Linked DNA regions of Coturnix japonica. The main gene of each other region encodes a partner of the protein of the gene in region 2 in a complex. Links are inferred from orthologs where the notes say so. Each region holds a gene or a part of one and is shown on either strand. Other genes may lie near its edges.

Evidence for each region.
Region 1: the proteins of ERCC6L (region 2) and BEND3 are in contact, whole or in part, in a crystal structure (PDB 5JNO), measured with the Homo sapiens proteins. The link is inferred for Coturnix japonica from reciprocal best matches to the Homo sapiens genes ERCC6L and BEND3. Residues at the interface, in NP_060139.2 of Homo sapiens: Ala10, Glu11, Ala12, Leu13, Ser14, Pro15, Glu16, Ala18, Ala19, Tyr21, Leu22, Arg23, Lys26, Phe51, Pro52, Asn53, Glu54, Lys55; in NP_001073919.1 of Homo sapiens: Glu252, Gln255, Ile256, Gln259, Leu261, Asp265, Arg269, Val272, Gln273, Pro276, Phe279, Ser280, Phe335, Arg338, Phe339, Gln342, Glu346.

What each region holds. Positions count from the first base shown.
Region 1 is NC_029518.1:61,805,416-61,817,259, reverse strand, and holds the end of BEND3 (BEN domain-containing protein 3), read right to left. Parts: intron 8,712-11,844; coding exon 6,459-8,711; 3' UTR 3,843-6,458; downstream 1-3,842. UniProt on the Homo sapiens protein: Transcriptional repressor which associates with the NoRC (nucleolar remodeling complex) complex and plays a key role in repressing rDNA transcription.
Region 2 is NC_029519.1:1,619,712-1,632,062, reverse strand, and holds ERCC6L (DNA excision repair protein ERCC-6-like), read right to left. Parts: upstream 6,837-12,351; 5' UTR 6,836-6,836; coding exon of another isoform or gene 6,785-6,835; coding exon 6,747-6,784; intron 6,524-6,746; coding exon 2,722-6,523; 3' UTR 2,260-2,721; downstream 1-2,259. Other genes in the region: PIN4 (peptidyl-prolyl cis-trans isomerase NIMA-interacting 4), read left to right, coding at 146-185, 280-338, 413-532, 611-769. UniProt on the Homo sapiens protein: DNA helicase that acts as a tension sensor that associates with catenated DNA which is stretched under tension until it is resolved during anaphase. Functions as ATP-dependent DNA translocase. Can promote Holliday junction branch migration (in vitro).

The DNA.
Region 1 (11,844 bases), on a different chromosome or scaffold from region 2:
CTGTTAATCAGGTTATATGAGAGCTGACGCCACAAGCAGCGCTGCTTTCTTAGCTTTATTTCCAGGTTCGTTACGCAGTTTGTTTTTTTTATGTTATATATACGTACATGTAAATACGTAACATACGTATTGCTTCCTTTTTTAATTACTGATTTGATCCTGGTTAACAATACCAACTGTGTTTTCATGTATGTTGATGTAATACAAGTAGGAAACTTCACAATGACCGAGGATTAAAGGCAGAGATCCCCTCTTCTCTCATGGAGAAGGCAGCTCAGGTAGGAGGCACACGGGTAACAGAAGAAAATGAGATGTTGTTTTTTACCGCATACTGATTTCAGCGTGGTGTTTAAAGGAGAATTTATCACTTAAGTGGCTGTAGAGATCTGACCAAAGATCAGACAACGCTGTGATTAGAAGTACACGCCTGTATTACTGCAGGGAAGTGCTGCCTGGGAGCAGGTGTCTTGAGTAATCACCCACGCTTGTAATGTTGAACATACACTTCTTTCAACAGAAACAACAAACTCTGAGCTGTGGCACAGACAGAATTTTTATAAGTGTATAACATCTGTGCATCCAAGTGTGTGTGTGTGCAGGTGGGAGCATTCATTCAGCCCACGGTCTGCTCCTTAGCAAGTGAGAAGAGCCCAGAGGGGAGGGCAGCCCAGATCAAGCAGCAGGAGTGCACAGCAGGCTGCTTTTCTTAGCATGTTCCTGATATCTAAGCGGGCAGGCAAGAAGTTGTTGCTCACAAAGCAAATGTAAGGTATCAGACTCAGGTATATCTGGTACACACTGATAAAGCAACAGCCGGATCCAGTTCAGAAGGCACTGCCTGGCACTGTCAGACTGCCCATACAGAACCGTGGCACCGGCATGGCACCAGGATGAGCTGATAGCTTTGCATGCTTCCCACACTGCAGTGTGTGCTGCATGGAGGCCAGCCTGCCTTGCAGAGCAGGATCTGTGGTCATCCATGGGAGGACAGCAGGGAAATGCTCACAGAACTGGGCTGCAGTTGGCAGAAGCATCAGTCTCTCAGTTCTATTGTCTGCAGATCAACAAAAAGGGATTTTAATCACTCACCTCCAACTTGCTCCACAAAAGAACAGGCAATTATTTTTTTCCACAGGGACAAGAATAGCACTGAAGCATTCCTGGATTGTATTTCTTTCTCCTGCAATGGCACATCAGAACAGTTAACCACCAGCTCCTGTGAAATACAGGACTCAACATGATGGTTGGTCTGCAACAGCCCTCATGGGGAAAGGGGTGCAGAGTCCATGTGTATGGTAGGGAGAGCAGCACAAACAGCACCGCTGAAACTTAAAATTCATCTCCAATACTGGAGCATCCAGTGTACCTATAGACAAGCACTCCAAGGAGAACACACAGGTTTCTGAACTCTTGAGAGCAGATGCAAGAGGAACAAAGGACAGCATTATCTGCCACAGAAAGAGACTCCTGGATGTTCTGTGTTTCAGGAATAGGACGTGATCCTATCGAGTGACTCCTGCTGCTCCCATGCACCTGGGCATTTTCTTTTTACAGGGAACCTTTGCAGACCATGCTAATGCACCGCCTTGGAGCTAACTGAAGTTACCGCTCCTGAAAGTGTCATGATGGGAGGAATGCTTTCCCTTCCAGGGAAGCTTCAGCACCAAGGCACGACACCACAAAACGCGCCTGTTAACGGTGACAAACCGCTGATTGACCATAATGAGATTTGTGAAGGAAATGGGGAATGATTATCTGACATTTGTGTGTAGGGGGAGATATTAATGAGGTGATCTTCCTCCAGTCTTTGGCAATCACCATTTGTTTTGCTTACGTCTATTAATGCAAATCTTTGTACAATTGGACATGTGGTGATTTTGCCCATTTTTTAACTGATTATGGTTTACTCTTCAAGTTTGTTTTTTTTAATATTCACATTTCTCTTGTGAGGGGGAAGGCTGGGGCAGGGAAAATGTGGCATTCTGCAGAACAGCTTTATTTCATCTCTGTTACAGCTCTTCCCATAAGAACCGAAGGCCTTTCAGCTTGCCATTAATGAAAAGAAAAACGCTCAGAGGGGGCTGCAGCCACATCATGAAGTGAATCAGGAAAGAGGGCAAGCAGCAGCCTGCCTGCACCAACAGGCTTCTCATGGTGCAATCACTAACCAGTAGGAATGCCATTCAGAAGGTGACAAAAATAAAACGGGATATGCTGGATGAAAATGATATAGCACAGGGGCTCACGCCCTGCTCATCAGATGAGGTACGAGGAAAGTATCCCAGATCTGATGGGATGCTGATCTGGAGTTTGCTCCAGCATTCTGCTGTGGAAGACCACCTCTCAAAGCAGTGCTTACACAGAGATGACCATGAGCACCGTGTAGCCCATAAGAAATTAAGACCATCACTATTGGTGGGAGGTTAACATGAACAATGTCTTTAACAGGGAGGGTAACAGCAAGGGCTTAAAAAGCACTGCAAATATTAGCTATTTCTCATTATTTCTGTTGGGACAATTAGGAAGGAAGAACAAAGACTTCTGGAAGGGGACTTTGTTCTTTTTCTCAGCCTTACCAAGGACAACCCTAAGAGAGGGCACTAAAGCATCTCATTTCAGCAACTCGTTTAAACAGCTCCAAGTGCATTCTTTTTCCCCAGAACAAGGTTAAAAACAACAAGAAATATACCTGCATCGGTGCCATCTGAATGGCCAGAGCAACCATAAAAAACACGTGAAGTCACACAGAGGAAGTGAAGAAGCTTTGTCAGTGACAATGGCAGAATTCTATTTACTCAGGAAAACCATAGATGTGAACCTGCCACGTTGCCCTACCACAGATTTTAAATGCAATCAACAGAACTGCACACTGTGAGAACACCTGTCAGCCACTGCTGTTACCTCAGCACAGGCAAGCCCCAGACATTGCATTTTCCAGCTGTTTCACAACCCTTTAATCTCTGAAACAAAAGCTAAATAACCAACAAAGCCTGCACGTTCTTTTCTGTATTTCCTGGGGCTGTAGAATTAGTAGCACTCCTTCCAGCATAAAATTAGTGTCCCTTTTTAGAGTGTTGAGGATACAGTTCTGTTTCCCACTGCTGCACATAAATAACAATTCACAAAGAGATGAATGACGCTCAAAAAATGTATCTATAAGAGAGTGTACTACATGAACCTGAGGACAGGAAAAAGAACAGGTGAGAACATTTCTTAGAACATGAAACATTTGGGGGCTGTAATGATAACAGAGTGGTTGACTTCCTAAGCATAAGGATCCTCCTCATCTGAAACCTTGTTTTCTTAGCCAGTTGAATGCAGTTAATGGGCAGTAAACAAACGTGTGCTTGATCTCCCTTTTGATGTATTGTTTTACATCTTCTACAGAGCTTCTAAGAAAAGGTTTTAATTTGTGCAGGCTAGGAAAGAGAGAAAAATAGAGAGCTGAGGTGTATCAACGTTCCTTTCAGAAAGCTGTTAAGAGGTGAGATATTTAAGCTGTATGTCAATAGGGACACGATACTCGCCTCAGCAGGTTGTGCTGACCTGATAGGCAGAAGGCAACGCCAGTCTATAGGAAGTCTGTGTGTGTATGGCTACGTACGTTCCAGATATGCTAACACCTAGCAATCTTCCTGTTGTTTTGAAGGGGCCAAGTTTGCTCCTTTGAACAAAAACCATCTGAAAGGCAGAAAAAACGGCTGCAGCAAAGCAGGGAGTTTTCATTTCTGTCTTCAGCCCGACTTGCTGAGATTATCTTGGCTCTTAGAAACAGCCTCTATAGGGAATGGACACGAATATGCTCGTGTCACTGTATTCAGGCAATCACCAGACAACATTCCTCTTGTATGAAAATAATATACCTTTAATTTATTTACAGGACAGACCAACCGGATGAAGTGGCTGTACTTCGGATGCACTGCAGGAGCTTTTTTTTTCCAGTGACCCCATGTCACTACTTGTATGTCACTCTTTTCTTCACAAAGCATACAGTCAAACCATGAAAGGCTGGGAACAGTGAGACAAAGGAATGTACACAACCATCAGATGTAAGTTAAGAGAAAAACCAGCAAGGATCTTTCTGTACCCACTTTTGAAAATGCCATTTTAAAAGCTGAAAATCGCTTTTTCACTCATCAGTATGTAATATAAACGGCCTGATCTTTGATGTGTCAGGACAGAATGACAACATCTACAGTAAAACCCAGTACGTCCTAAATTCACATGCTATCTAGTAACGCCCGCCAGTGCTACAACAGTTTAACGTCATCGACTTCTTTGGGAGCTTTGACATCACTTAGTGGTATAACATTTATGACATCAAAATCAAAAAAAAAAAAAAAAAAAAAGTATAAAGGAAAGCCACACTTTGCATTTCTTGCCATCTGGTTGGGCATTTGCAACAGGTTGTTGGTATTTTCTGTGGTTTTATATCTCCCATACAAGTGCATGTAGAAGACTTCACAGAGGCGCTTGGTAGCATACAATTACAAGAGAAGGTCTGTTTCTGGCACATTCAACTTGCTAAATTTATGCACTGAAATGAAAGATAATGCAGACATTGCGGTATCGGTTCTTTATCTTTGGTAAAAACATTTTCTTTTTATTTTAGACACATTCGCTCCGATATCCATTTTGCGTGTGGTCTGCTATTATTTAAACCAGCGGAAAACATTTAGATGGACACAAACAGTCTCAGTGTATCGTTTAATACATTCATGACTTTCTTCATACATTCTCTGAGGATGTTGCTAGCACGTGGGGAAGATGAGCAAATGCAAATCTATTACTGCTTACTCCTGGCTTTAAACACTATCCTTTTGCTAGTACTTGCCATTAGGAAAAAAACAAACGTTCTTTTGCTTTTTAAAGGGAGAGATCAATATGACTCTAAGAACAATAAATTCTAAAAATCCGAAGTAAAAATATCGAGTATTTTGTATTTTCTTACAAATGCTAAAATAGAAAATTAGACTGGAACAGATTTCAAATTTGATACGCTACGAGCCATTTAGGAACAATTAAAAAGGACCACAGGGAACATCAACGATTGCTCCGAGGCGTTCCAGCGATGGTCAGTACGCAGTCGCTGACTCTACTGACTCAAAAATGCATATCTGACACTCTCTGACATCATTCACATCGCCATTAAAAAAAAGGAGAAAGCTGTTTTAAAGCTGTGCTCTCCAGTGACAAATCATACAGCAGAGTCACAGTGGGTTCTAGGTGGCCTATGTTACATATGAACATATTATTGATGCAAACTTGACCATATGAATCTAAGTTATACATACACAATTATGTCTCCAAATAGCTACTAATTACACTAAATCAATTTGGCTAAGTGAGCGAGCTCAATATCCCTCTACATCTGAAAAATCCAGATGGTGCCATTCTGATGATGCAGAGTGAGTTACATTACCACAGCTCATTCATGGGAACCTCATAGCACTTCATTCCATCCCAAAACTGATCTTTGCGGGTAACTTTTATTGATGCAATTTGATGTTAATACTGGAAACCTTTGGAATTGTCATTTTGACACAGTAAGTTCTAAAAGTTTTTGAAGTCCGTGTTGCTTATCTAGTTATTGTTGTGTTACAGAGAGGCAAGCAGGCAGGCGCAGGCAGTGGCAATACATTCCACAGGTGCGGGTTTGGGTCTGTGCTGCTGGCTCTACTCTCACAAGCCACCCTCAGTCATGCCAACCGTGACACTGGGCAAAAAAGAAAACTCACAGGGGCATGATTAAGCTTGGGGTGCCAACAGAAAGGGACATTCACGCTGTCTATGCTCACGTCTCAACTCTCCAATAGTTCATATTCGTAGAATTTTTAGAAACAAAACTTGAGTAACAGTCAAAAATTGAAACCACACCACTCTGACCCATTCTTGGACGTGGTATTACTATTTCCAGCATCCCAGTATCAATGAGAACAAAACTCATTCAAGCTGTGATTTCAATGAAAATGGTACTTTCAAGAAGCATTAGTTTTGTAGATTTCCATGAGGTTTAAATTTCAAACTCCAAATGAACGAACATGATTGTGTATAAGGGTGAAATGAAATACTGCCCCTGACGAGCACCGCATTTAAAAAAAAAAAAAAAATCTTTATTATTAAAAAGTGTTAAAAAAGGAAGAAATGCAGAAATGGGGAATGGCATAGTAGAGTTTCAGTACATGGTACTTGCGCCAGTGAAAGCCATGCTCTTAATGAGTCATCAAGAGCTCTGTCACCAATGACTTAGGATCTTTACCCACGTACAAACCTAGTAAGCCACTTCCCACTGCTGCAGTGCCCACATAGATGCAACACACACGTTAAAATGCAACAAACTTAGTGCCTAGTTCTCTCGGATGCTGAGCAGCCCCAGCCCGACAGGCCCTTCAGTCTGAAACAAAGCATAATCCTGACAATAATTTAGTGGTCAAAGTCTTAGGAATTCAAAGAGCCTGTCACTTCTTTGCTTTCTTTGCTTTTTTCAGTATGTCACACTTTTTTCTGTTAGGACGCCGGCATCTTTCATCAATGCTCGGTATACATTCATAATGCCATACTTCTTCCATTTTCTCCACGGGGTAAACCGCTTCCACGTAATGGCGGATCAGTCTCAGTCTGATGGGATCCAGCTGTTTTTTGTTACAAGCACCTGAATGGTTGTATTGCAGTCTGAGATTTTCAGGAGTAAAGAGTTCTGGGAACAGTCTTACGAGAAGCCTGGCGGCAAAGTTTCCAACAGAAAGGCTCTGCTGTACGATCTCTCTTACCTCCTTATCAGTCAGCAAATACGGAGAAGGCACAGGGAAGTCTGGGTTAGGAATAACGAGTTCATCAAGTGGTATCTTGCAAAAATCCTTGCTGCTCCTTTCAGGTGGCAATGGTGGCCCTTCAAACTCTTCTCGAAACCTTTCGGGGTTTATTGCATAGCTGAGGAACTCCCTCCTCTCGGGCCCCGGCATGTGGACCTTCCGCTGCTGCTGGTATGAGCGCCGTTGCTCCGTGTCCCTTCGCCGACACCTCTCATCGAGCTTCCCAACAAACTCCAACATCCATACTCTGTCATTCTTTGCCCTTGGGTACAGTATCTGCACGTAATGTCGAATTAATTTAATCCTAGTGGGATCAAGCTGCTTCTTGCCCAAAGACCCACTACAGTTGTATTGCTTCCGTAAGTTTTCATGAGTAAACAGCTCGGGAAACAAGAGAACAAGCAGCCGAGAGGCAAAGTTGCCTATGGAAAGACTGCTTTCGTATATGTTTTTGATCTGTTCTTTGTTCAATAGGTAATCGGGAACAGGGACATCAAAATCAGGAGGGGGAAAGTCAAGTTTGTCAAAGTCAATGGGCACAAGCCATATTTTTTTTGAGCGTCTACCTGGTTTTTCATATTCAAAGCTGTCTTCCACTTTTATGATCGATACGTCATCTGGTAAACTAGAAGAGTCGTAACAGTCATCTCTCAACTGATCACATTCACTTCCATCCATATACACATTTTCAAGTTCTTCATTTATTCGCTGAACGCATTGCTGCAACCAAGCTTCCTCTTCCTGTACATCTGGGAAGTAAATTTCAGTGTACCTACGTATTATCTGAAGCCGATGAGGATCCAGCAATTGCTTCCCAGAGTCCCCATAGCAACTGTACCTTTCAGCTAATTTTCTGTGGTCAAAGAGTTCTGGAAACAGTCTATGTAACAAAAAAACACAAAACTCCCCCGGAGAAGAAGCTTCATCTAAAAATTCGTTGAGATCCTGAGCATCTAGAATGTAGTCTGAGGCAATGGCATTACTCCTGTCCAAGGACAAAGCTTCTTCTTGCTCTTTATCGTCAAGAAAATGAGAGGAATCCACCTGTTCAGTCTCATAAAAACTGGAGGATTGCACATTCTGTGGGTTATTTTCCAACTCCCTTTGAGCCCAAAATCTATTGAAAAAATCGTTGAGTTGAGGCAAACACTCCACCTGCCACACAGCTGTACTCTTCACAGAAGGATAACAGACTTCCACATAGCTACGGATAAGCTGCAGATGGAGAGACTCCAGCTTCCTCTTGTTAGGAAAGCCACACGCGCTGCAGTTCCTGTTGAACTCATCGTCGCTGAAGAGCTCTGGGAAGAGCTGTACCAGTAACCGGCAGGCAAGGTCTCCACCTGACGTGCTTTGATCCATGAGTTGTTTGAGCTCAGCAGAAGTCAGCGTGTACTCAGGGGGAGGCTTGAAATCTGCCACACACTCCACTGGACTGACTTGCTTTTTAATTCTGCTCACCTCCAGAGACAGCAGGTCAACCTTATTGTGAAGCTGGGTCATATTGGAACTGAGAGTGTTAAGCGTGAAGAACATTTTCTGTATCAAAGAATATATATTTGGGTCAGACTCTACAGCAACAGCTGCTGCAGCAAGGGCTGCAGCAGAGTCCCTTTTGCGCTGGTCATTCAAAGTCCGAAGATGCGAGGGACTGCTGGGGCTGATTTTTTCATACAAGTCGTAAGAGGTAAACTGCTCTGCTCCCGGTGCATTCTTCTTCTCTGTAATTTTGTGTGAGATGCCATAAAGGGGTTTCTTGTAAGACGAAGTGGTTATGTCACTGAAGGGTTCTTCCTCACAGAGCCATGTTATATTAGGATTCTTGTTCTTGCTTGGCTGCTCTGCATTTACCTGAGTGGGTGAGCCAGTATCTCTGTTCTTCATGTTTGAATTGGAGCCCTTTGAATGAATAAATATTGTATTAGTAAGATTGCTTAAAAAATAGTAGTTATAGATGTGTTCCCCTTAAGCAGGCATTGTTACATAAGAGTGTGAGGCCAAACTGTCTCTAGAAGTTTCATTTGTATTACATATATCAAATTATTAAATGCATTAATAAAATAAATCAACAAAAATACAGTGAAGTATTATTTATGTTGTTTTTTTTTAAATTATTACTATTATTATTATTATTACTATTATTATTATTGTCTTGGCTCATGGCTTTCTCCACAGGCTAGAAATTAAATTATAATATTTAGCACTCTTCTCCCACCGAGTTCTAAATACTCTCCCAAATTAAGTATCATTATGTTTATGTGTGAGGATCTCGAGCTGCAGAGAACTCGGGTGGCAACAAGTCAGCAGGAGAGCCAAGAATAGAACCTAGATTTTCTGACTCTTCGTCCTGTGACCTTGCCACTGCTCCCACCACCTGCATTTAGCATTGCTAGTGCTCTCCTTACGTTAGCTTTTGAAAATACCATGAAGGCTATGACCCGAACTGTCACTATTCTCTTTCTGCTGATGTCAGAAGTTGATACATGTCACGGAGTTCTCTCTAGAGCTCACTCCGGGACAGTGGGCACAAACCCGGGGCAGCAGGAACAAAAGCCCCCCCCCTTTTCTCTAGCGGGCAGTGCGGCGCGGCCCGGCGCGGCCCGGCCACGTGCGTTTAGGGAGACGGGGGAAGGGAAGGGAGATTGCGATTAGGTCTAACAAAAAAATGAGGGAGGAGAAAGGTGATCTGAGAACGAATGGCAGTTTAATAACCTAATAACACTAAACAACAACAAGAGAGTTTCAACAAAGAGAGTACCAAGTCCCAAATCTCACCGATGGAGCTGTGGAAGGCAGGAAGGTCTGACCACGTTGTCTCCTCGCAGGGAGCCGGTCCAGCAACGCCGTCCCCTTCCTCACTTCCCTTCCGGTGCCCCACCCCACATGCTCATTAAGGCAGTTCACAGAAAAAAAAACTTGTCCCCTTTACTCCCATTATTAGCATGGTGTTCTGATGTGGAATACCAACACCAACCAAATTGCAAAACCATAACATTCCACCCCTTATTACACATCATCACATCATGCCTAACTTTTATCAACATATAAACAGAACAGTAGTTAACATGCATTACATATGTACATACAGATATATATATATATATATACACACATGGAATCACAGGCTGCACTCCCCCAGCATCAAATTTCCCTGTGGCACACACTGAACATCCCCATCCTTCTGCATCACCCACCAGGTGCACCCAGGTCCCTGTGCAAAGACAGTTCCACGGAGGGGCCTCCCCTTTCCAGAGGCTGGAAGGACCCAAACCGCTTTTCCCAGCATATTCTTTACATGCACACAGGAACCTTGTCTCCCTCCACGGTACGCAGGGAGTTGGACTGTGTAGGGCCGTCTCGGTTGGCTGATCCTCGGGTGTTTACCAGCCAGGTGGCTTCTGCTAGATGTTTCTCCCAGTTCTTAAATGTTCCACCACCCATTGCTTTCAGCGTGGTTTTCAGCAAACCGTTGTGGCGCTCGATCTTACCAGCGGCTGGTGCGTGATAGGGGATGTGATAGATCCACTCGATGCCATGTTCTTTGGCCCAAGTGCTCACCAGTGAATTTTTGAAATGAGTCCCATTGTCTGATTCGATCCTCTCTGGGGTGCCATGTCGCCACAGGATTTGTGTCTCTAGGCCTAATATGGTGTTTCTGGCAGTGGCATGGGGTACCGCATATGTCTCAAGCCACCCGGTGGTTACCTCCACCATGGTGAGTACATAATGCTTACCATTACGAGTCTTTGGCAGGGTGATATAATCAATCTGCCATGCCTCCCCATATTTATACTTTTCCCATCGCCCTTCCCCCCAGAGAGGTCTCATCCTCTTGGCCTGTTTGATCATGGCACAGGTGTCACAATCATGGATGATCTGCGCAATAGCGTCCATAGTTATGTCCACCCCTCGGTCTCTAGCCCACTTATGTGTTCCATCTCTGCCTTGATGGCCTGAGGTCTCATGGGCCCACCGAGCTAGGAATAACTCTCCCTTATTCTGCCAATCCAGGTCTATCTCAGCCACCTCAATTCTGGCAGCTCGATCTACCTGGTGGTTATTTTGTTGCTCCTCTGTTGCTCGACTCTTGGGCACGTGGGCATCTACGTGACGCACCTTTAGGACCATGTTCTTTCTTCGGCAGGCAATGTTCTTCCATAGTTCAGCGGCCCAAATAGGTTTACCTTTCCGCTGCCAGTTTTTGCTTCCCATTGCTGCAACCACCCCCATAAGGCATTGGCCACCATCCACGAGTTCAGTATAGAGGTAAAGCACTGGCCATTTCTCCGCTCAGCAATGTCTAGGGCCAGCTGGACAGCCTTTACCTCCGCAAATTGACTCGATTCTCCTCTTCCTTCCGTGGCCTCTGCAACTTGTCGTGTGGGGCTCCACACTGCAGCCTTCCATCTGCGATGTTTCCCAACAATGCGGCACGATCCATCAGTGAACAGGGCGAACTTCTTTTCATTTTCCAGAAGTTCATTGTATGGGGGAGCCTCTTTGGCGCGTGACACCTCTTCTGCTGGTGGTGCTTCAAACTTTTTACCTTCGGGCCAGTCCATGATCACTTCTAGGATCCCTGGACGGCTGAGGTTCCCCATCCGGGCCCGCTGTGTGATTAGTGCAACCCACTTACTCCATGTGGCATCTGTGGCATGGTGAGTGGAGGGAACCTGCCCTTTAAACATCCAATTCAGCACTGGAAGTCGAGGTGCCAGGAGAAGCTGCGTTTCGGTGCCAATTACCTCAGAGGCAGCCCGGACCCCTTCATATGCGGCTAAGATCTCCTTCTCAGTTGGAGTGTAGCCCTCTTCCGACCCCCTATATGCTCTACTCCAGAATCCTAGGGGTCGGCCTCGGGTCTCATCTGAGGTCTTCTGCCACAAGCTCCAAGTGGGACCTTTCTCCCAGCAGCCGTGTAAAGGATGTTCTTCACATCCTGTCCCATCCGTACTGGCCCCAGGGCCACAGCACGGGCTATCTCTTGCTTGATTTGCTCAAAGGCCTGCTGCTGTTCAGGGCCCCACGCGAA
Region 2 (12,351 bases):
CTGGGGGCAGGCCTAGGGGTTGGGGGGCAGGCCTAGGGGCTGGGGGGCAGGCCTAGGGCAGGCGGAAACGGGCGGGCCCAAGGCCCAGGGGAGGGTCGCGGCGCAAGGCGTGCTGGTCGGCGTTGAGCGCGGCGGTCCTGCGGCGATGGCTCCGAAGGGGAAGGGAGGCGGCAAGGCTGGCAAAGGTGAGCGGGGCCGGGGGAGGGAGGCCTGCAGACCAGCTCTGGTGCCGGTATCTGCGCTCAGAGGCCTGGCCCGGTTTCATGGCGTTGTTCGCAGGCGGTGAGAGCAGCGAGGGCAAGGCCCAGGGCCCAAAGGGCGGTGGTAGCGCCGTGAAGGTGGGTACCGGTTCCCCCTCCTTGCCCCCAGTGCCGGCAGCCCTCGCGACCCGCCACGGCTCCCTCCTCCCTAGGTCCGGCACATCTTGTGCGAGAAGCACGGCAAAGCCATGGAAGCCATGGAGAAGCTGAAGGCCGGGGTGCGCTTCAGCGAGGTAGCCTCGCAGTACAGCGAAGACAAGGCCAGGCAGGGGGTAAGGCTGCTCCTAGCTCAGCACTGCCCTGCGGCCATGACAGGTCTGCAGCTTAACCTTGGTGGTTCCCTCCTGCAGGGAGACTTGGGCTGGATGACCAGAGGCTCCATGGTGGGACCATTCCAGGAAGCAGCGTTTGCCCTGCCGGTGAGCAGCATGGACAAGCCGGTGTATACAGACCCCCCTGTCAAAACCAAGTTTGGGTACCATATTATTATGGTGGAAGGCAGAAAATAAAATATGAATGACCGTGGAACTCACGACTGCTTAAATTCTGAGCGTTTCCCAGGCACAATTAGAAGCATATTGGTCATAACCACAGGGTGCTTGGAGACAGCCAGCCACTCCTGCAGGACATGCAGATCACAGCCAGCAGAGAACAGGGCCCCCTGCACAGAGAGGTTTCCTGAAAAAGGTAAAGTAAGCATTCCCTGAAAAAGGTAAAGTAAAAGTTGTGTGTAGTTGTTGAAATCTGCATCAGTTTGTAGGCCAGCCCCTTGGTTTTCCAGCTAGAGAGATGATGATGTACAGCTGTGAAAACTCAGGCTGCAAATATAGCCAACCTGGAAAGGGTAAGGGATTGCCTAGAGCATTTGCTTTTATCCTCACCAGCAAGGATGCAGGCAGCTCAGATGCTACAGGTTCAGCTCCAGAGTTCAGACTTAACATGGAAGAGCCTCCCATTGTTAGATGCCAATCTAATGCTACTACTGCAGCTCAGGGTCACTGCTCTGGGCAGGCTCCATGTTCTTTCAGTCAGCAGTCTTTACCAAGACTTGGAGGTATGAAGTATGTGCCTAAAGCCTAGTAAGGTGCACTTTGTCCTTCTGGTAAAATGGGATAAGTGACAGTGTGACTGATATGAATGAGATGGCCCTGTATGTCCCTACCTCTGGCATCTCAGTAATAAATATCCCACTGCATTCATCTTCTGTCTGCTGAAAGATGACTTAAACTGGTGCCGTCTTTGCTGCAGGTAAGCATGCCAGTATGTCTGCAGGCTTAGGGATGAGGGCAAAACATCAAATAGAACAAAAGGTCTTCCCACCATCAGACACAGTGAAGAGGTAAGGCTGAAATCAGGTCAGGTCTTTCTCCCACCCTGCTTTTGGGGACATTTGTTTCATTATGTTGAGAGAACAGAAGGTTTGTACATGCCAACCAGCATTTTCAAAGCTCGTTAATATTTTGTTATATAAGGCAGACAGGCCTTTTTACAGCATGAGCAGATGCGGACCCATTTAAGTGATGCTTTATTAATAAACTACTTGTTTCCAGGCTACCAGGGCTTTGTTTTACACCTATTAGCAAAAGCACATTGGTACATCTCCTGTACCAACAGGACCGCTGTTTGTATTTGGCATGTCATCTAGTAGAAAGAACTCAAATTCTCATGCCTAGGCCAAATTTAACTCACCATGGTGGCAGAGGGGGAAGTCAGATGAACAAGACATTGCTGAAAGCTGGAGTGAGGTTCTTGTGACTTTAAACTCAGATTCATTGTGCCTATTGTACCTTGTAAAGAGGTTTTCTGTGGTACTGTTTCAGTACTAGTCCTGATGCCAGGCAGATGTTTGCTGCTATAAATCCTCCGAGCAATGGAGGCCAGCATGCCGTCTCCCTCCACCCCAGGATGTTCATTCTCAGACCAGCTTAAATCCAGGTTGGGGCAGTTCTGTTCTCAGCTTTGTACCAAGCACTTGGTGTGCTTAAATAGCAGGGCATGGTTCAGGTAGGCAAATGGACTTTATTTACATTGAGAAGGAGAGGGACTGCAGCAGTTGGAATTTAGACTGCAGCAAGCTAACCACACCTTCAGCTTTGTGAGAGTCTCTCCTGCTAGATGAGAAACTGAAGGCCAGAAACACAAATCCAGAGTTGCGTTTGAGTACAAAGATAGGTATTTTAATTACATGAACAGGAACGTGAACTTCTTAATGAAATGAGTCCACAGTGAAATTCCTTTCCCAGCACCAAAAAATGTGACAACAGGAGGAGTTGCTGGATTTGTTCACTAAGCATGACTGAAAGTTTCATAACATGAAAGAAATACATATTGCAGCCAGTCTTAAGTTTATAAGATCAGTATAGTTTAACATCAGTATAGTTTAAACAAATATTTTGTGAAAAAAGTTAAACTACTTAACAAAGGTAGGCATGTTTCATTAGACTGTTCAAAGGTTTACATTTCATTTCTGAGCCATCTGTCTGTACAAGTTTAAGGTCATAAGCATGATTTCGGGATCTCCACTTTTTATATCAAGAGCTTGCAGGAAACAGTTCAGTGCCTCTTGTAGTTTTCCATTTTCCTTCAGATTCTTCCCTCTGTCCACCAAAGCATTGTAAGTACCTGAGCGAGGAGAGGAACTCTGACCAGTAGAGACGCTTTCCTGGGTGCAGTACTCCACCTGTTCATCTGACTGAAGCTCAGCATCACCAGTGGATTCCTCCTGAGAAGACTCTGTCTCATCTCCTTCAGACTGCAGACCCTCTATATGGAAGGACTCTCCAGTTGAATTCAGTGTTTCTCCAGCAGGTTCTTCTTCAGGCTTGACAGACTCCCCACTACACTCTTCTGCTTCTTCTTCTGCAAAGCCTTCTTGCTCCTCATCGCTGTTTTCTTCTTCACCTGTGGTTCCCATGATTTCACTAATATCCTCAACCTCATCCACCACCTTGTTGATGAGAGATCTCCTGGAAGCTGTAGACCTGTTACTGCTGTTAGTTAATTTGGGAGAAAAGATGGCTTTTGCTATACTTCTTTCATTCTTAGGAGTAGATGTTTCAATTCCTCCTATAACTTCACGCTGAGGGCTGTTCAGAGGAAAGGACCTTTCATCAAACCGTTCTTCCTCCAGGTTTATAACAGAATGGTCCTCATCTTCACTGTCCGAAACAATTCTTCTCATGTGCTTCTTTCTAGCTGAAACAAGGACAGCGCTGTCTTCCCCTGATGCTTCACTCCCTTGCAAAGAGTTATTTGGATCTTCTTCAGCTGTGTTGTATGTGTTCCCAGAGTTACTTTTCTCACTTAAGCAAGTTTTTGCTGATGATTTATGCAGGCTTTCTGCTTTTAGCTGGAACTCTTCATCTTCTGGGTGCTCCGTTGATCTTTCCCCATTTGAGGCATCCTGCAATCCACCTTCAGACTCTTCCAGAACCAGATTGAAGTCAATTTGATCCTGGGGAAAAGGCATAGATGTATCCTCCGAGCTGATTTCTTGCACATGAGACTCCTGGACCTCAGCATGGACTTTTGGTAAAACATCTGATAAATTTGGTGGTAGGGCACACAAAGCTAGCTCAGAAACATCTTTCTTTTCTGTCTCTGAGACAGCAAATGAATCAAGTACCTGATCTGCTATTTCTGTGTCTTGTAACCTTTTGGAATCATCAGTCATAACAGATTCATTAGAGGAATGCTGAGAAGGCCCAGACAGGCCATTCCCAGCCTCAGTCAAGCCATGTGAATTTATATGATGAAGAGAATGTTGTTTCTGTTGAGTCTCTTTATCAAGTGGACCAATTCCAGGTGATAATGGTGTAGTGTCTGAGTCCAGATTTTGTTCAGAATCTTGTATATTGGGCTGTTGCGCTTTCTTGCCACTAGTAAGCAGCTCTATATCCATACCCGATGTCTCTTGTGCCAGTTTCTCTTCACCTAACTCAATAGTCAGATTTGTCATCTTAGAGCTGACATCGAGAACCTGGACCTCCATGTCCTCTGTAAGATCAATAACTTTGTCATTTTCACGTTTATCAGCTGCTGGTGGTGAAACAGAGTTATTTATATTATTCAACCCCGGAGACCTCTTCTTTGTCTGTGAAGCCAGTTCTGCTGGTCTCACCAATGTCTCCTCAGCAGCATTTCGAATCCCTTCCATCCTCACATCTCTGAGCTGAGACTCTAACTGAACCAGCTCATGGGCCTTCTGTACCCTCTGTTGGATGTACTGATGGGCTTCCTCACTCTCAGCCTGTTCCTCATGGGTCACTTCTCTTGTAAATATTAAATCGTGATCAGATATGCCAAACATTTCCAGAGAGTGCAAATAAGCAATGTGCTCATCCAGCTGCACATCAGTCTGTCTCTGGGTGGCATGCAAAGACTGCAGCTGGATCTGAGTTGTGGATGTTCGTGTATCTTCTAATGTGAAAAGCTCCCTTAGTTCCTGTTTGGAGAAATACCTAAACGGGTTCTTTTTGTCACCAGTAGTCTGTCTTATTAATGAATCCTTAAATACTTGCCGCCTATATATTTTCTCTTCTACTGTCCCACAGGTAATCAGCCTGTAAATCACCACATTCTCTTTCTGCCCAATCCTATAAGCTCTATCTACAGCCTGAGCATCTGTAGCTGGATTCCAACTGGGATCAAAGATCACCACTCGGTTGGCTGCTGTTAAGGTTATACCAACACCACCAACCTGTGTCGTTAGCAGAAAGACAGAATAGTCTTTGTTACTCTGAAAGGCATTAATGCGCTTCTCCCGTTCTGTGAGGTGGGTCACCGTTCCATCAACACGCATGATCTTAAATCGTCTGCTAGACAAAACCCGCTCGATGATATCCAGCATCTTTCTTGACTGTGAGAACACCAGTGTTCGGTGTCCCTCTTCCCGGAGCCTCTCTAAGAGTCCTAAAAGAAACTGCATTTTCCCAGACTCCTGGATCAGGGTCTCATCAGACAGATGGTCTATTTTATTGGCACCTGAAAGTACAGCTGTTTGACTCTCGTGATCCTGCTCCAAATACTCCTGTCCATCTAAGTCCAGCTGGGTACACGCTCTTGCAGTCAGAAGCCTGGGGTGGTCACACAGCTTCTTCAAGACAGTCAGCTCAGCCAGAGGTGATCGGGTTGTCATCAGCAGTTCTTTCACATGATCTAGACAGAGAAAGTTCCTGTAGATTTTTTCCTGCACTGGTGCCAAGTACACCCACACAACAAAGTCATTTTTCCTAGTGAGAGATGGCATGACAGGAGCGCTAGGCTCACGTGGATCCTCAGGAAGAAGAGTGTCTGATTTCTCAGCATTATTTCTTTTTATATCACCTTTAGTCCTTCTGAGGAAATATGGCTTTATAATTGTCATTAGGTTCTCAGATATCTTAAGTCCCAGTGCTTTCTCACCTACAGTTGCATCCTTCTCCCTGGCCCTAGTAATGGGATTCTCGTACTCCATTCTAAATGTTCTGGCTGTTCCTAAGAGAGAACCCTGGCATGCAAAGTCAAACAAGGACCACATTTCCTGCAGGTTGTTTTGCAGTGGCGTGCCTGTGAGGAGGAGGCGATGCTTCGCAGGAATTGCGTATACACACTTGGTTGTTTTGTTGGATGGGCACTTGATTTTGTGTGCTTCGTCAAGGATGATGTAGTCCCAAACAAAGTCCTGCCCGTGGCAGCTGGCAAGTTGCTTCCAGTTGTTAATGAGCATCTGGTAGCTTGTGACAACAATGCCGTTCTTCCTCTGGATCTTCTCCAGGTTCCTGGTGCGCTCTGTCTTGCTTGTGCCATGGAACTCTTTGACACGCAAACCAGGGGTCCAGCGAGCAAACTCAGCCAGCCAGCTGCTGACCAGGGTGGTGGGCATGATGAGCAGGACGTGCCGGATGAGCTCGCTGTCAAACATGCCTGAGAGGAAGGCGATGATCTGGATGGTCTTCCCCAGGCCCATCTCATCAGCCAGGATCCCTCCAGGTCGGCCCTCCTGGTGCAGGCGGTACAGGAAGGCAACTCCCTCCCGCTGGTGCTGGAAGAGCTTCTCGTGCATCTCCCTGTAGAGCAGCAGGCCGCTGCCGCACACGTCCACAAAGTTGCCTTCATCCCCTTCCTCCTCCTCCGCCGCCGCCAGCTCTGCCAGCGCTGCCTCCAGTCGCTGAATGCGGCCCCTCAGCTTCTCACTGGGATGGATGGCGACCGCCTGCCGGAACAGCCGCAGGGCCTGCTCCAGGTCCCCGCTGCCTGCAGCCTCCTTGGCGTCGATCACCAGCCTGCAGCACCTCCGTTAGCACCGGGACCGAGCCCCCAGTCCCGACCCTCCTCCTCCTCACGACCCCCACAAAGCCCTGCAGGCCCCCAAGATCCCTATAGCCCTTAGGCCCCACAGGCCCCCACACCGCTATAACTTCCAGTTCCTCATCCCCCGCCCCACTAACCCCCTCAATCCCCACCGCCCTCGTTCCGCAGACCCCGCAGCCCCCCCCGGCCTCTCACCGCCGGTACCGCTGCTCCTCGGGGCTCAGCTCAGCCATGACGCCGTTCCGCTGCCGCCCTGCGTTTCAAACCCGGCCCTTCCCGCCCTGTCCCGCGGCCTTGCAGACGACAGCGGCGCTCAGCCAATCAGCGCCGGGGGGCGGGGCCGCGGGCGGAAAGCGCTGTGAATCGGCGCTGAGCGGTCCTCCCGCCGCCAGGGGGCGCTGTGACTCGGAGCTCCGCGCTCCGCATGAGGGGCGGTGCGGGGTCGCCGGGAGACGGAGGCGCCGCCGCCATGGAGCCGCCCGCCGCGGCCTGGGGCCTCGCCGAACGCACCGGGAGCCGCCCGGGGCCGGCGGGGAGGAGCCGGCCGGGCGGGGGGCAGGGCCGGCGGGGGGACAAGGCGGCGGCGCAGGGTCTGCTCGGCGCTGAGCTGCGGGCGGGGCGGAGGGAGCCGTGCGTGCTGAGCTTGGCCCGGCGGGGCGGCCGCTACGGGTGAGTGCGGAGTGCCGGGCCGGGCCTGAGGTGGCTGTACTGTGGGGTGCGCTGACGGGGCAGGACGGCGTCCCTCGGGCGGTGGGTGTGCTGCTCCCGGCAGCCTTTATAGCTGTGCTGACAGCCTTTACAGTGTGCTAACAGCCTTTATAGCTGCGCTAACAGCCGTGTGCTTGCGGGGACAGGGCTGGTCCGGTGTTTTATACGGCTTCGCTCTGTCTGCAGGATAGTTATCCACTCGCAGGAGAGAGAAAACTCAGAGCCGGATTACATTCCCATCAACAGCCGCTTTAAGTGCGTGCAAGGTACGGACTCCCGCAGCGGGCTCTTTGTGGCAGCCAAATCCACTGCCGTTCTTTGGCGAAAACGGAATCTCGTGGTTTCTCTTGACCTCAGGATCTGTGTAGACTTCATGCTTCCCCTGGAAGTAAAACTTGTGGCTTATGGGCTCCTGTGCCTTCCACACCTGAGCAGGGCTGCCCTGTCTCAGCACACCTGCAAGGACCCGATGGGTTCAGGTCGCACAGAACTCAGCAGCTCTCAGCAGTGTGTTCACCTCACTGCCTGCCAGGCTCTGCATGCTTTTCTGTGCTGGCAGCAGCTGGGAGCTGATTCCTGGGTGTTTCGTTCAAAACCTCCATAAACTGCCAGGTCCAAACAGCTGCACGTGGAGTGGGAAATAACTCAAGGTGTTGTCTAGGAAGAACATTGCCCCTGGGGGAAATGCTTGTTCAGCATCTTCTCCTGGCTTAGTTTATAACCTTTCGTATAACTCGGTGTAGTTCTGGCCATCATTTTGCTGTGTAAGAGAAGCTTTCAAGTTCATTGCCAGACTGGTGTTTCACAAAGGCGCTATGACTGTCCAGATCTGTAAGAGCTCTGAATATCAGCAGTCCCCCCTGTGATGGTCCGAGCTGTCCAGATGTGCCATTCTTTCTGCTGTAGCTGTTATTAGTAGCAGAGGTGTTTCTTCCTTTCCTAGGACTTCTGTGGCTAGAAGCAAGCAATGTGCTTTTTTGAGTATGCGCTACCCACAGTATTCAAGGTGAAGTCTCAGTGCTTTTTCCTCTTCTCTTCCAGAGGCAGAAGAAACTCTGCTGATTGATATAGCTACAAACAGTAAGTTTTATAACGTGTGTTAAGCTCCTTTCAGGAAACTGTGCCCTGTTTTGGGCACTAATGAGTGCTTCTTTTACCTGCCTCCATACACTGTGTCCTTGGACCAGGAAGGGGTTGTATGTCCTCAAGTCTTTTCTGGCTTTTATAGGCATCCACTTGTCACGACACGGTCTTAACTGCCCAAATAAAAGTATTGGCAGTTGGTTAAACTTTAACTTCTTAAATCTCGTCTCGAAGCCCTGAATTGGCTTTAGAACCATTCTCATCTCCCTTCCATTTCTTTGACCTGATCTTGAGCCCCAGTTGCTATCTGCCTTTAATGGTGTGCATGTGGCAGCTCTCTCTACTCACTCATTCTGCTTTCCCTTTCAGTGCCTTCTTAGTACTTTTAGAGCTCTTCTTTGTGAGATAGCAGTGAGGAAAAGTTTTCCTAAAAACAGGAAAACGTAACTGGTGGTATTGCAGGTGGGATAAGCTCTGAAGTGCTGCAAAACTTGGTAAGGTGCAAATTGCCATCAGAAACAGTATCTGAATGTTACCTTCCATTGAAGAGCTCAGAGAATATGGAGTAATTCTATTGGCTCTGAGGGCATAACATCTGTCAAGCAGACCTGACTGTGAGTTTGTGTTTATGCCTGAAGCAGGCTGCAAGATCCGGATACAAGGTGACAAGACAGCTGAGAGGCTCTTTGAAATCCCTGATGAGGAGCATTGCTTGGGGTTCCTCTCGGAAGTGCAGAGCATACAGGAAGGTAAGCAGAGTTATCGCTGTATTCCTGAAATCCTCAGGCCACCAGCAGTATCTGATAGGGCTTTCCAGCTCAGTTAAAAGATTCTCTGCCTGAACATAAGGACTCAGCCAGCTGGCATCAGATGGAGAAGAACCTCCCAGGTCTATTGCAGGCCTCTTCTCCAAGTGCTGAAGTGGCTGTCACCCTTGCATACTCTGTGATGTGTGTATGACTGGGCCCTTGGTGGCAGGGTGCTGTGACTGATGCTGCATTTGGCACTCTGCCTACTGTACCATTTCCTTACTTCACTGTATCCCATGCAAAACAAAGCATCTTTGTCCTCTGATTCTGTTGCCCTGGTCTGTTCATTCCTTCTTGAGTGCTGTCTCCTCTCAGTGCCTTGGCTTGCATGTGTTAAAGTTCTGTTTTGCCTTGACCCTGTCACTCATTTTCTGCATTATCAGAGCTGGTGTATTGCTGTTATCATTTGTTCTTTAGCTTCCCGTGGAGCTACATTCCTTCCTTTTTCTGTTCTGAGCTGTATTAAATTGTTTTTCATGGTATCGTGCTTGGCTTTTTCTTTATAGGAGCTCTGGGGTTTGAGGATGACTTCAATGCTCTAAGCCTAGAGAAGAAAAGAAACATGCAAAACCACCAAGCAGGCTCTCGCCGGGAACCCCCACCTCCTCCTGTGCCTCCAAGTAGGCAGTAAGTAGCATGGTGAATCTCTTCCCTTTTTCCCTTCTCTTCCTCGACAGCAGAACCAGTTTTAATTCTGCTCTTGCTTCCTTTTGAGGTTTCAACGAGAGAGAGAAGGTACATCAAGAGACCAGCCAAAAGTAACCAACACCATGCGCAAAATGTTTTTACCCAACACCCATTCAGGACAAAGAGAAGGCCTCATCAAACACGTGCTTGCAAAGAGAGAGAAGGAATACGTCAACCTTGAGAACTTCAGGTTAGAGCTGTGACTAGACAGCACTGTGCAGAGAGGGTGACAAGACTTTGTAATCTCTTCTGTGAGCTCAAATCCAGCCCGGGTTTGAGATCTGACAACTGTGGATGCATTGCCAGCTTCACAGAATCACAGAATCACACAGAATCACAGAATCACAGAATTGTAGGGGTTGGAAGGGACCTCTAGAGATCATTGAGTCCAACCCCCCTGCCAAAGCAGGCTCCCTACACCATGTCACACAGGTCGGCGTCCAGGCGGGTCTTGAATATCTCCAGAGAAGGAGACTCCACCACCTCCCTGGGCAGCCTGTTCCAGTGCTCCATCACCCTCACTGTAAAGAAGTTCTTCCGCACATTCGTGCAGAACTTCCTATGCTGTACTTTCATCCCATTACCCCTAGTCCTATCCCCACTTGGCTTGGGTGCCTGAACAGGGATTTGTGCAGTCTGAAAAGAAAAGAAATGTCTGCAATACAGCTTCTCCTTTTGCGTCATTCCCTTTGTGAGTGTCAGATCTCGGGACCTTCTAGTAAGACTGAAGCAGTTGGCAGAAGGAGAAAAAAGGGAGCTGTCTCACTGCACAGCCTTAGCATCATCCCACACAACACGATTTTAACAGAGCCAGATGTTTGCTGGCCCCATTGAAATGTATTTTGTTTTTGTAGCTTTCTGCAAATTTGGTGTCACTGGAGATGAGCCAAGCCTAGGAATATTTTCAGTTACCCCATAGTTGGCATTACCCTGTGCACGGATTACTCATGTGTTCTCCCAGCCTGGATACTGTTTTGTGTGCACTGGAAATACTGGGCTCGTGCACTGGTTATTGTGTTTTCTTACAGTTCAGCTGCTTTTGTATTGTAGATTTTTTGTGGGAACATGGAATGTGAACGGGCAGTCTCCAGACAGTGGCTTGGAACCCTGGCTGGTATGTGACACAGAGCCTCCCGACTTCTACTGCATTGGGTGAGGAGCAATTACCTTGTATTTACTTACAGTGCCAGGTTTCCTACTTGGTACTGGTGTGTTGTGTTTATCTGAAGCTTCTGTTGTGTTCTCAGAGGTTCCACAAAGCTGAGTTTTCTAAAGGAGAACTGCCATTTGGTTGAGGCAGGGTGTCAAGTTAAACAAGAGGTTACTGTCATGTAGCAAAAGAGATTTTACTTGGGGTGTCCCCAGAGCTCTCTGACTGTCCTCAATCAGAAGTCATGCTTCTTGCAGAGAGGAGTTTCCTGTATTTGTTGCAGTAGGGTCTCAGAGGCGCTGATGCTTTAGGAACAGAGAATGAGGTTTTTCTACCAAGAGAGATTCATGAAGGTTTCACGTTGGACCTTCGTGTAGAGAATGATCTGTGGTACACTGCACTTCTGCTAAGTTGGCTTGGTTTTAGATTCCAGGAGCTGGACCTCAGCACGGAGGCTTTTTTCTACTTTGATTCTGCAAAGGAGCAGGAATGGCTGGCTGCTGTGGAGAGGTCCCTGCACCCTCAGGCTAAGTATAAGAAAGTGAGTTCTGTTGGGTGGTATGGGGGGCTGTCAGAGGGTTGGAATTACTGGAAAGAGCATAGAAATGGGTTTCCCATTTCATCACCTGACCCAAAAAGCAGATTGGAGGAATGAAGGATGTGTGCTTGGCGTGTGTCTACCTGTCTGTGTGTCAGATATGCTGAGCTGCGTCTGGAAAGTCTGCTTGTCCTGTTGTTGTAGGGGAATGCTGTATTTAGAAGCAGAAATTAGTAAAGATAGAGGATGAAAATAGGTATAAAATAAGAGGTAGATTTCAAGGAATTAGTATGCTTAATAAAACCGTAGCAGCAGGTTCAAGTTATTTCTTTGTGTTACTCTCCCACCATTGTATAGAAACAAGGTGTGTCTTGAGCTGGGGAATGAAATGAATAGTTTCTCCCTGAAGGAATGGAATAATCTGTGAGGAGAAATGCTCTGGAGGCTGCTACCTTGAGGCAGAATTGGTTCAGTTGTGGCACCTGCTCTTTGCTCTGATTGCTTTGAAACAAACCATTGTATTTCATCTCTGACTGTTTTGCATGAGCTGCTTTCCCTTTCCTTGTTGACCTGTGTGTTCGCTGTCACACCCCTGTGCTGCTTGTTCTGTGTTGAGCTCAGAGCCGTGGGTTACAGGTGACAGCAGGAAAAGGGAATATCTCACTGAACTGAAGCTCATGGTGAAGGAATTAGGGATCACAATGGGAACTGCAAAGAGGCTGATGTTCCTTTGCCTTTGTGTTACATGAGCTTTTAGGCAAACTTCTTCCACCCTTGCAAAAGGGGGAGGGTATGTCTGCAGGCAGAGAGCAGTGGCTGAAACCA